Drosophila melanogaster: one gene and its partner. The protein of the gene in region 1 purifies or fractionates together with the protein of each later gene. This does not show direct contact. Each region holds a gene or a part of one and is shown on either strand. Other genes may lie near its edges. The genes, in order: FBXO11 and CG3708.

Region 1 (7,961 bases):
TAGCCGGAGCCAATCTCACGCTGGCTGATCGGACTGGACGAACGGCTCTGCACTACGCCTGCCAGTTAGGTAATCACGAGGTGGTAGACTATCTGCTGCCGCACTACGAGAATCCCTACATCAAGGATGAGCTGGGCATGTCGCCAATCGACTACGCCAAGGCAGCCAATCATGCCCACATCCTGACCCTGATGCGTTTCAAGGAGAAGGAGCTGGCCAAGAAAGATCCGTGTTCCTGCACGCAATAGAAGCACTTTTAGCAATGTCTGTTTCTAAATTCCAAATTAAAAACTTATCTCAACCTCTTTTCTTAATTTTTTTTTGTCAAATTTCAAATATTAGCTTATACCTTGTGTATATAATATAAGTATGTATATTTAGTTGTTTGTCCAAGTCAAGGGCGACGTTATTTGCTTGCATAGGTAACACATTAAAATCAATTTCTACATAGTATAGTCGCACGTCGAGGACGCACTTAAATTTTTGTTAGTAAAACAATACAATCGGATGTTCGTATATTTCATATAGTTGAATATAGAATATAGTATGCAGTATTTATGTGGTTATTTGATCCGTACAGCGATAAATGGCCTACGATGGTGAACCGTTGCGGAAAACACGGGCAAACAAATATAAATAAAATGTAAGGCAATAAAAACAAAATACTTAATTCACACACGCAGTTATCGGATAATGTCATCTATGCAATAGTTATGGGTTTTGCGTTACTTACACCTAGGCTACTACAGACTTAAATTATAAAAATGATTCGCATAATTCGAATACTCGGCCCGAAGACAAACTAAATACTAAACTTTTCATCAACTTACTGAACTAAAATGACACATGGCTTGTTTCTATTTCTCGCTTAAGTTTGAGCTACAAATTTGTTCTACAACATTTAGACATGAAATATTGCTTGGTATTTTACGCTTGGTAAAAGGCTTTTGATTTTGTATGTTGTCCGTGTGCTGCATCCGTAGAATTCTCATGAATATATATATATATATATATATATATATATAAAGTGTGCTGTATATGCTGTATAATTATGTTATGTGTTTACTATACTCGTATATTCATAGGTTAGTTTGCTGAAGCATTGGCTGCCGCTAATCTAGTTTGTTGTTAATACTTAGAATTGCTTTCTTCGAATTGTTGTTAGTCAGGAGGGGGGACATCTTACTCGGTTCGCCTGTGTATGTGTAAATCGCTTATGAATATATCTTATGCCTACACGTAGTTTATGTTAATTGATGTACTTTTAAAATCTCTACTAATCTACATTACAAAATTGTTTTTCACTGGGTTTTCGAGAGGGCTCTATCGCGCCTCCTTCGTTTACATTTTGACGTACAAACAAATGCATTGTGTATTTAAGGTGTTGCTCCTCTTTTTAGTTTTTCATTCGTTGTGACATAAATGGGAAAAGTTTCAGTGGTTTTTGCATTGATTTATCCGTAACATACTCAGTTAAAAAGTGAAAACTTTGCGTGTGAGTTCGTGTTAAACTAAATTGCACATTGAGTAAAATTTTGAACGCAAGAATAATTAGTTATTATTTACATACAATTAATTGTATTGTGTATAGTTTTTTTTTTTGTTTGTTGGGTTTGGGTTTCTTTTGAATATTTACAGCAACGCGTGAGATGTGCGAGAGATTTGAGAGATTGGCCTTAACGACTTAAGATATATCTATAGTGGATTAGCTGCCGTTGGGGGTTCTCTAGTTGACCATCAGTGTGTGTGATTCCATGGGGGCTGCCGAGTCGTAGAGTGTGTCCGTGTCCTGAGTGGGTTCGCCCTGCAGTTGACACTGATTGGACAGGGTGCCAGCACCGCAGTCGCAAAAGAAGCTGCAAGATATATAAAAAAAATATATTATTTATTTATAAAATATAAAAATACAATGTATTAGTTCTTCTCTGCTCACTTACCGATCGTGTCGTATAAACTCGACGTCATGACCAGCATGACAATTCTTAATGCAATTGACGCATATGGCATTGCGGTCGGTTGTGTTGCAGGTCTGGCAGCGGTAGAAGTCGTGCATGGGAAAGGAGGTGTAGCTGCTAATCTTGTACAGGCACTGCCCGCTGGATACGGCCTTTTCCACCTCGTCCTCGTTGTTGAAGATGTTGTTGCCCCGCGTTATGGGCTGAACGCCGCTGGCTAGGCACAGCCCACCAAACTTGTTCTTGAATATCTGATTATGCTCAAGCGTGGCGGTGGCATTGTTGGTTATCTCCACGCCCGCCGCTTGGCCATCGTAAATGCGATTCCGTCGCAGGATTGGGTGGGATTGTGTCGAGATGAGTACACCGGCCTGTGTGTTGCGGAATATATCGTTTTCCTCAAGGATGCCCTTGCCGCCGTTGAAGATGCAGATGCCGCCATCACGACCGTCATAGATCTTGTTGCGCTTTAGCGTCGGATTGGAGTCCGTTTTAATCCAAACACCGGCCATGGCATTGTCGAATATCTCATTCTGCTCCAACAAGCCCAGACCACCATTATACACCAGTACTCCACCATTCTGTCCGCCCCAGATCTTGTTGCCGCGTATTACTGGATTGCTGCCCGTGCGGATTTGCACTCCCGAGTACAGGTGGTTGAATATGTCATTGTCCTCTAGCTTTCCATGCCCGTTGTCATAAAAGTAGACTCCCACTTGCTTTCCCGAATGTATTCGATTGCGTCGCAATACTGGAGTGCTCCCAGTGGTTATCCACACGCCAGCCAGTGTATTGGAGTACACCTCGTTCTCCTCTATCAGCCCTTGACCCTTCTCGTGTACATATATGCCGCCGTGTTGGCCATGATGGATCTTGTTGTGACGCACTATGGGATCACTATTGGTGCGAATTTGAATCCCTGCCAGAGCATTTCCGTAAATGTTATTGTGTTCGATAAGACCCCGACCCTCGCCAAAGATGTACACTCCTCCTTGGTGTCCGTTGTAGATCTCGTTCTTGCGGATCGTTGGATTGCTGTTGGAGGTTATCCAGACACCTTGACGACAAAAAGCGTGTGTTAGATACCATTAATGATCTAGTTCTGGCATTGTTAGCTTACCTGCAAAATTATTTGAATGAATTCGGTTCTCTATGAACTGACCAAGTCCGTTCTCGTGCACATAAATGCCGCCCGTCTGGCCATGATGGATTTCACACTTAACCACGGTAGGATTGGCTCCGGCCTTAACCTCGAAACCAGCTATACGATTGTTGTGGATATCATTCTTCTCAAAGTAGCCCTAAAAAAGGATATCAAACATTAAAATAGTTAATATGATGTTAATGTTATATTCCAAATGAATTACAATGAGTTGTGGTAATACAATTAGCTTCAGCTTACCATTCCATTTTCGAAGGTAAAAATGCCCACATCCCGACCGTGGTGTATGTGGTTCTCTCGCATAATCGGACTGGCGAAGTTCTTAACCCAAATGCCCGCCAGTGCGTTCCGGCTGATCTCGTTGTGCTCGTATGTTCCCTGGGCGTAGTCGGTGACGTATAGACCTACATTTTCGCAGTCGCTGATATCGCAGTTTCGAATGACGGGATTGGCGTTGACCCCGCCCACACAGACGGCAGCACCCACCACCGAGGTAGAGCGAATGATGCAATTGTCCACAGTTGGAGAACAGTTCTCGCCGATGTCCAGGCAGTAGTGCTTGTGATGCGATACTGTTGATGTAACTTCAGGCGAAAACTTGAGTGTGAGGTAACCCACGTAGGCGTACTTGGCCCCCTCTACAAACATCACAGTGGATCCGGCCTCCCGTTCCAAGATCACTGATTCGGCAACGTTGCCAGGCGCTGCACCAACAAGTGCCACGTCCGAATCGATGAACAAATATTCCCCCTTGTAATGACCAGCATGTAGGAATATCAATGGTCCAGGATGCTCGGTCGGAGCCACTTGTTCCTCATAGATGTTGACCAGTGCGTTAACGCTGGCACCACCGACTCCCGCTGACGCACTTGTGTTGGACAGTCCGGCGGATACCACATTGCCGGCTCCTGCACCGGCTGGCACAAAAACTCCTGCAGCCGCTCGCTCTTCTGGGTAATCCAGAGCCGCCTGAATGGTGTTGAAGAACACAATACTACGGCCAGAGCTGCGACGCTCCTGGTAACCGGGACGCACGTGCACACCGCGGTACAGCTGGCGGAAGCTCTCTTTCCACGGATTAGCGTACTCCGACTCTTCGGGCTTCTCAAACACGAACTTGCACAGTTCCGGGTTGAAGAGCGGCAGGTCGTACTCAAAGACAGACTGATAGAGACGCTTCCACAGCTCCGTGTCGTTGGCAATGGTGTTAAAGCGCTTACATACAAGCGCCAGCCGGCATAGGTCCTGTTCCATAAGATACGAGAAGATGGCCAGCAGTACCTCGTCGGGCAGTTCATACTGAAGGTACTGGGCCGCTGTGGGCGCACAACCTGCTCCGCCGGACGCAGCTGTTCCAGCTCCGGCTGCTTCACCTGTGGCACCTGCAGACGGTCCCATCTCTCCGCCTTGTGTGTAGAGGCGTCGAGATCTTTTCCTAGCCGGCAGCATGTAGTTATTATCCTCGATGGCAGCGCCAACCGGCAGTGCTCCACAATGCTGTTGCGGCACCGAACTGTGGACATTGGGTGGCTGCGCCAGAGTGGCTCCAGTGGTGGGTGCATTGTTCACCGGAAAGGTGGCGCTGGTCGAGGGCGCCTGAACATTGGACGAGGAGCTCGAGGACGAGGCGGACGAAGACGACGAGCTAGAGGAGGAGGACGATGAGGAGCTGGAGGGCGAGGCACCCGGATTAACCAGTGGCGGGGAGCTGCTCGATGGTCCCACGAGTATTGCGGCAGCTGCTGCCACGGCGGAAGATGAACTAGTGGGCCACTGTTCGTGGCTGCTAGCGGAGATCTTTCGGCGCAAGTCGTACGGGCTCTGGTGACTACTTCCGGCAGAAGCGGAGGCTGCAGCTGCTGCGGCGGCCGACGTGCTTGCCGTACTAGATCCGACTGTGGCGCAGGTGGACTTCGAAGCGGTGGTGGAGGAGGCTCCTAATGCCGGTGGCGTTGACTGGCTGGTGCCGGCGCCCGAACTCTCAGTGGTGTCCATCATTTGCAGGGCATTGTAAAAGCTGCCAGAGAAGCCCGATGAAGCTGCTCCGCTGGATCCACTAGCTCCTTGGCCGCTGTCAAAGTACTCTGCAGAACTAGAGGCTCCTGCTGCAGTAGGTCCGGCGGCTGATGCTGCCGCCGCTGCAGATCCGGATGTGGAGGTGGCGCCACTGCTTCCGCTACTGCTGGCGTTGTTGTTGCCAACGCCACCAGCCCCGGAACTACTGGCGGCATTGCTGTTGGAACCGGATGCACTGGCTCCCGCACCGGCGGCGGTCACGTTCTGCTGAAGCATGGGGTCCATAATGTTGCCCGTCGGCCGGTTGGGCATTGCTATCCGGTTGGCTCCTTTCCGTCGGGAGCGGCGCACGTAGGTGCGCGATGAGGTGAATGAGGCGCTCGGCATCTTCGCTTCACCTGCCCAGCGATGATCAGTTTTCCACGAGTTAATCAGACCCAAAGACTTTTGCGTTTGAGTTTTCACAGTTTTCCAACCCCATATGCACACGCACTCACACTGGCATACACACACTGCCACATGCACATGCACAATTTGGCGACGACTTTTCGCTCTTTCTCTCGTTCCCCTCACTTCGCTTTCGATGTGGAGTGCCACCGATCGGTTCGGATTGGCTGGCTATATCCTTGGACCCTTCGATTGATTGTTAATTTAGCTACATTTGCTAAAGTTTATCCGTCTGCTGACTGCTCTTCTTATTGCTAGCGAGTGCATGTGTATGTGTGTGCGAGTGTGCCTTTTTCGGGGTTTCTATCCTTTGTCTCTCCTTTGTTTTGTTTTATTTGGTTAGAAGAGCACCGCTAGCGTACACGCTGGTCTGCTCCGTCTCGCTCACTCATTGTTACTCCGTCTCCCCTTTAATTCGTCTTCGCAGCAGACACTCTGATTTCTTTTCGCTTGTTTCGCGGTCCAAATAAACACTTTTCACAATGCAAATACGCAAGTTCTATCCAATAGCTTGTGCACTTGACACAATTGAACACTTTTATTCCAAAATTTCAGAAGCGAAACCACCTATACTCGGAGTTTTAATTTTAGCGTTGAGAGTGACCGCTGCTCGACTGATGGAAAATACCAGCTAGCAACGGAAAAAAACCGACAGCGCCTTAAAGACGTTTGGTATTTTTTGGCATCGTTTTTGTGAAATCGATTTTAATATCGATGAAATTGATATCTTTTTGGCGCGTATTCAAATGCTTCGTGTCTATTTTAAATTATAATGCACAATTAAATGTATGCTTTTACCGCGTTCATAAATCTTAAACATTTTAAATTTTATAAGTTTTAAATGTTTGCATTAAGTTGTACTGATTTTGGGAGCGCGTGGTAAACAGCCAACATGCAACCAAACACATCAGCTGCAGCATATCGACAATTAAGGCCGCGTCACGCCTCCTTTGGGTATAAGTTTCATTGTTCACCTGCTTGTCATTGCCGTTTTGCGCCATGTTTTGACTGCTTCATTGAACGAGTGCCCAACATTGAACTTCGCACACGCGATTGCATCGACTATGGGAAATTGAACTTAAATGTTTCTTTTACTGAACTTGTGACCCAAATGCCAAAAGGCACGTGTCAAATGTTAAGCATACTTTTTATATAAATAGCACTCTTTGGAGTTCGCTGTCCAGCTGGATTCCAATTATTAAACTTAAAAGTTACAAAAATCAGACGTAGTTTCGAAATAAAACTAATTAGAGATAAGAAATAAATAATTTTTTTTTGTTTCAATTTAATTGTGTAGCACCGTATTTGACACTCTCAATATACAAACAAATTGAAAAGAGTTAATCTTAGATTTTACTTTATTCGTTCACTTTTATAGTTGAAACATGGGCCATACAGCTGCCCTAAGATGATTTGTTAATCATTTGTTTATAGTTTTTCTCGACCTATTCGTTGTGTCCTCGTCCACTCGTCGTTTTCCGTAATTTTTTTCCGGTTTTCGCCACTTAAACCAGCTTGTAGTTACGAGTGTTGTTTTGGTCTGCGCTTTGTGGTGCCCATTTAGAGGTTCTACTTCCTTTACATTCCCTCACCCGGCGTGAATGATAATGGCATACGCATCCCTTTGGTCCGACGCCACCGAAAAGGGGGGTGGGTGGGTTGACTATGGCCATATGTTCTCGGGGGGTCTGGTGTCCTGTACTCCCCGGCATCTCCTCGCCGCTGACCTCAATAATAATTTCGTCTAATTGCTTCGTAATTATGCCGCGCACATGCTTTTCTTGATTCGCCCGTTGTTGGTAATTCACTTGGCCCCCACGGTTACCTTCCTATCTTCGCTGGTGCGTGCTCTCCTCTCCTTTGAGCTCTCGAGGATGTGAACGTGAATGTGGGTGGCCTCAAGTGGGCGGTGGTCGGTGGCCTCCGGTGGGTGGAAGCGTCCGAGTCAACCATTTTCGCATATTATTATTTGTCTCCTTTGTTTTGCGCAATTTTTCGTCATTTGCTTCATTTTCTGTCATTAGAGGCATTTAACTTTTTGCTGTTTTGCCTCTTTTCCGATTTGCCTTCATTATTCAGGCGGCCGCCAGTGCCAGTGCCAGTTTTCGCATTTCGGATTCAGGCCGACGAAAAAACTGAGCAAATGGATTTTCCTGTGGTCAAGCTGAAAGCAGGGCAAAGGTGGACAATTAAATTATTATTGCCGCGATATTTAGTCGTGTAAACAACATTAATGTGTCGAAAATAATAACCACTACCATATTCTTTTAAAACTTTTACTTTTACTTAAACTGAAATCCTCTGTAATGTATGAAATTCTCCATATGTGCTTTCTTTTTAAGTGCACCTCATTTAGGAGCTGCTACCTTTAAGAAATTTTC
Region 2 (3,722 bases), on another chromosome or scaffold:
TCCTCAAGGCGGCACTGTACCTGTGGCTTCCCGAAAGCGGCCTGTTCAGTTCGCCGAATCTGCCCGATATGGTATACTTCACCACCGCGGATGGAGCGGAGAGCAACGCGTTCCAGGGTGGAGGCTTCCACGTCTACCAGGAGGCATCTATGCGTGTGTGGCGGCTCAAGTACTCCGGACTGCTGAAAACTCAAGGGCCGGACGTGCAGGACGTAGCCGTGGACTTGGACCTCCGTTTCGAAAGCTCCTCCGCTGAGCACTTCGACTACAACAGAGATCTGAGCAGCGCCCTGATAGCCGACTCCATAGCCAGAGAGGCCTGGAACGAAAAGTTCTACAGCCTGCTGCGCAGCGTCAACCACATCGTAGAGAAGCGCACCCACTACGAACAGAACGGAGAACTGGCCGGCCAGGTCACGCTCGATGGCAAGGAGCTGGCGCTGAAAATGGTGGGCTTCCGGGACCACAGCTTCGGCACCGAGCGCTGCCTAAGCTCCATCAACCGGTACGTGTACTTTGCCCTCTTTATGGACGATGGCAGCAGCATGGTGGTGGGCAGCCTCAGTCAGCCGTCCTTCTTCCTGTCCTCCCTGAAGGTGGGCTACGTGTGCAGCCCCGAGCGGCAGTATCAGCCGCTGACCGGGAGCAACTTCGAGCTGTACTCGTACGGCGAAAAGGGAACGCCGCCGCAGCACCAGAATTTCATTGTGCGCACCGAGGAGCGGGAGTACCTCGTGCAAATCCAGGTGGAGGCCTCCGCGCTGCGCTACGTCGGCGGCGACTGGGAGTCTAAGGTGTTCAACCAGTTTGTGGCCTGCACGGTCAACGGAGTTCCCGGCCAGGGCCACGCCGAGTTCCTGTACCGCCACAAGGGCGGCAGGCCGGAGGATATATCGTCCGGGGACCCCGGCTGGTACCAGGACATCAAGCGCTTCGAGAGAAGCCTCTCGTTGCTGGAAGAGGAGGGCCAGGACGAAGACTTCATCTTCTAGGACGCCGACGAATTGTTTTTGTTTTCAGTTTAAGATAGCATGTAAAAGTATGGGGGAGACCCATCCTATCAAAATAAAGAGATTTTGTTTGAATGACATTCGAGATTCTGAAGTCATTGGCCGCGCTGATGTCATCGGTAAGTCCAAACTAATTCAGTTAACCAACAATCCAACAGCAATATCCACTGGAGGCCATCCGGTGCAGCTGCAATCTGGTGGACTCGGGTCGATGAGGAAGATTACCGAATCGCTGGTGGAGGAATTGGACCCCCCGTGAGGATTAGTCGCCCATAAATTAGCATGCGACAGACGAACGGATTAGATTGGACAGCTACTTCGGTTTTTCTCCCAATAAATAATGGCGATTCGGGCCATCGGTTTATGGCACCCAAAAGACAACGGGCCCCACTTATCGCTCCGTCGGGCCAATAAAACCCAAGACCAGGCACCAAGACTGGGCCCAAGTGCCCAGGTGTCGCAGATAAGAGGCGAGCGGCGGGGCAGATAGCTTCAATCCAACAAAATAAACCATGCTCGGGATCTGAATGGAGCATTATGCTGCCGTCCGGTTCCGACCTGCCGCAATGTCAGCTTATGGTGGGCCGATAAGTGCCGGGCATGACCCTCCCTTCAGTGTCCAGTCCACAGCCCATATCTGGGCTCATGAGCAGGTAGCTCCGATAACGCAACCGCCGACAGATATTGGCCACCGATTTGCCCGGAATTCGGCAAATCATGCACTGTTTCTGGAATTCGCCTTCATTAATTATGCACGTAACTCTGAAGTGGTATTCCTCGTAGGCGAAATTATTTGTTAGATTACGCAGTTATTGTAATCAAAAATGCGATTGCTTCTGGGCAAATCCAAGGAATCATCAGCCGAATTTTCGTTCCCAGTAGTAGGCCGGTTTCTGTGGAAATCAAGGAACAGCTTTGATCTAGCATAGTAGTTTCCAAGTGCCCAGTCGCAGAGCTGGAATATACTTGTAGATTTATATACATATATGTTGCCAAATTTCGAAGTTATTGCACCGAATTGCACAATGATTGGGATGGCTGACAGCGCGGAGGGGGTTACCCAGGAAGACAGCCACACGGAGTCGAGGGCAGACGGCATCAGCGGGTCCTTGCGCTCCCTGGGCACATATACCCAGGAGTCCACAGAGCCGGCTTTGAGTCCGGCGGACCTTCCCGCCCGCAGCCGGAAGGCCTTTCTGCGGCACATGATCGGCCAGCTGGCGGAGCCCGTGCAGAACCGCATACGGGCACTGCGGCACAATCAGCTGCAACAGGTACGCATTTCGGAGCAGTTCTTCCGGGAAGTCTACGAGCTGGAGCGACGTTTCTACGGCCAGAGCTGCGCGCTCTTCGATGCGAGGCGGGATATTTTGGAGGGTTCGGTGGAGCCACCGATCCAAACGGAGAAGACCTGGCCCGAGGACCCGCAGGATGCTCTGTACCTGGACTTCGGGAACAACGAGGAGCTGCGACAGCTGAGGCAAAAACTGGCTCCGGTTTCGCCGACTACGCTGGGTGTTCCACGCTTTTGGCTGACAGTTTTCCAGAACGTGCCCCTGCTCTCGGAGTTGGTCCAGGATCACGACGAGCCGCTTCTGGAGAGCCTAATGGATGTGCGCCTGGCTTACGACCAGGACAGCTACATGGTCATCTTTCAGTTTCGGCCCAATAGCTTCCTGCACGATTCCTCGCTGCTGCTCACGAAGCGCTACTTTCTGCAGCACTCGGCGGACCCGGAGTATCCCTTTCTGTTCGAAGGGCCCGAAATAGTTCGTTGCGAAGGCTGCCACATCCACTGGCGCGATGGCTCCAATCTCACTCTCCAAACGGTGGAAAGCAGGCGAAGGAACAGAGCACACCGAGTCACCAAGGTCATGCCTCGGGAGTCCTTCTTTCGCTTCTTTGCTCCGCCGCAGGCCTTGGACCTGTCGCTCGCGGATGAAAAGACCAAGCTGATCCTTGGCAACGATTTCGAAGTGGGCTTCCTGCTACGCACCCAAATCGTCCCGAAGGCGGTGCTCTTTTACACGGGCGACCTAGTTGACAGCCTGAGCGCGGCCTCTCCGGACAGTCGCTCCTTGTCCTCGGAGGCGGAACAGGAGCAGGTCTTGTGAGTGCGACGCGACTAGCTGTTTGCTAAACAAAATTTACAAGTGAATGTGGTAATGATTTCTTATTAAATTCTACAGTTCGGCCAAAGCCAGTTCATCACAAATAAGGTGAACCCCTTCCCCTCCTAGCGCTACTTAAAAATGCTGGTGTAGTACTCCTCCTCCAGGTCGTACAAGTCCATGGCCATTTCGTCCCTAAGTTTCATCAGCTTCTTGTCGCACTCGCTCTGTGTGTTCCTGAACAGCTGCGAATTGTTTGTGATGGCCTCGTTGACCGAGTGAAAGTCGTTGAGGATTAGGTACTGTTTTAGGTCGGCCACCAGCTTCATCAGAGACTCGCCGGCACGGACTATAAAGCGGAATGCATGAAGGAAATGGCTCGAATCTGGTTCCCAGGGAGTGGATTTACTCACCCATGTTGGCCGCGCGGACCTGCATTTCCAGGGCATCCTGTTCGCACTGCGTGGTCTTCGAAATCTGGCTGTGGCTCTCACGGCGCGCCAGCTTGAGTATTTCTGGAGGAGAACACGGTATTACAATCTATTGCTCGGAGCAACTGAGCCGCACTTACCTTCAAAATTCTCCAGCATGCTGCGAACGT

What was found.
Region 2: the proteins of FBXO11 (region 1) and CG3708 purify together in Drosophila melanogaster (affinity purification with mass spectrometry, with the first as the bait; one large-scale study listed by BioGRID). This does not show direct contact.

The regions. Positions count from the first base shown.
Region 1 is NT_033777.3:9,803,163-9,811,123, forward strand, and holds FBXO11 (F-box protein 11), read right to left. Parts: upstream 6,207-7,961; 5' UTR 5,521-6,206; coding exon 3,358-5,520; intron 3,257-3,357; coding exon 3,076-3,256; intron 3,013-3,075; coding exon 1,938-3,012; intron 1,857-1,937; coding exon 1,727-1,856; 3' UTR 324-1,726; downstream 1-323. Other genes in the region: CG8526 (uncharacterized protein), read left to right, coding at 1-248.
Region 2 is NC_004354.4:928,298-932,019, reverse strand, and holds CG3708 (uncharacterized protein), read left to right. Parts: upstream 1-1,921; 5' UTR 1,922-2,035; coding exon 2,036-3,124; 3' UTR 3,125-3,222; downstream 3,223-3,722. Other genes in the region: CG3706 (uncharacterized protein), read left to right, coding at 1-992; MED22 (mediator complex subunit 22), read right to left, coding at 3,253-3,470, 3,535-3,636, 3,693-3,722.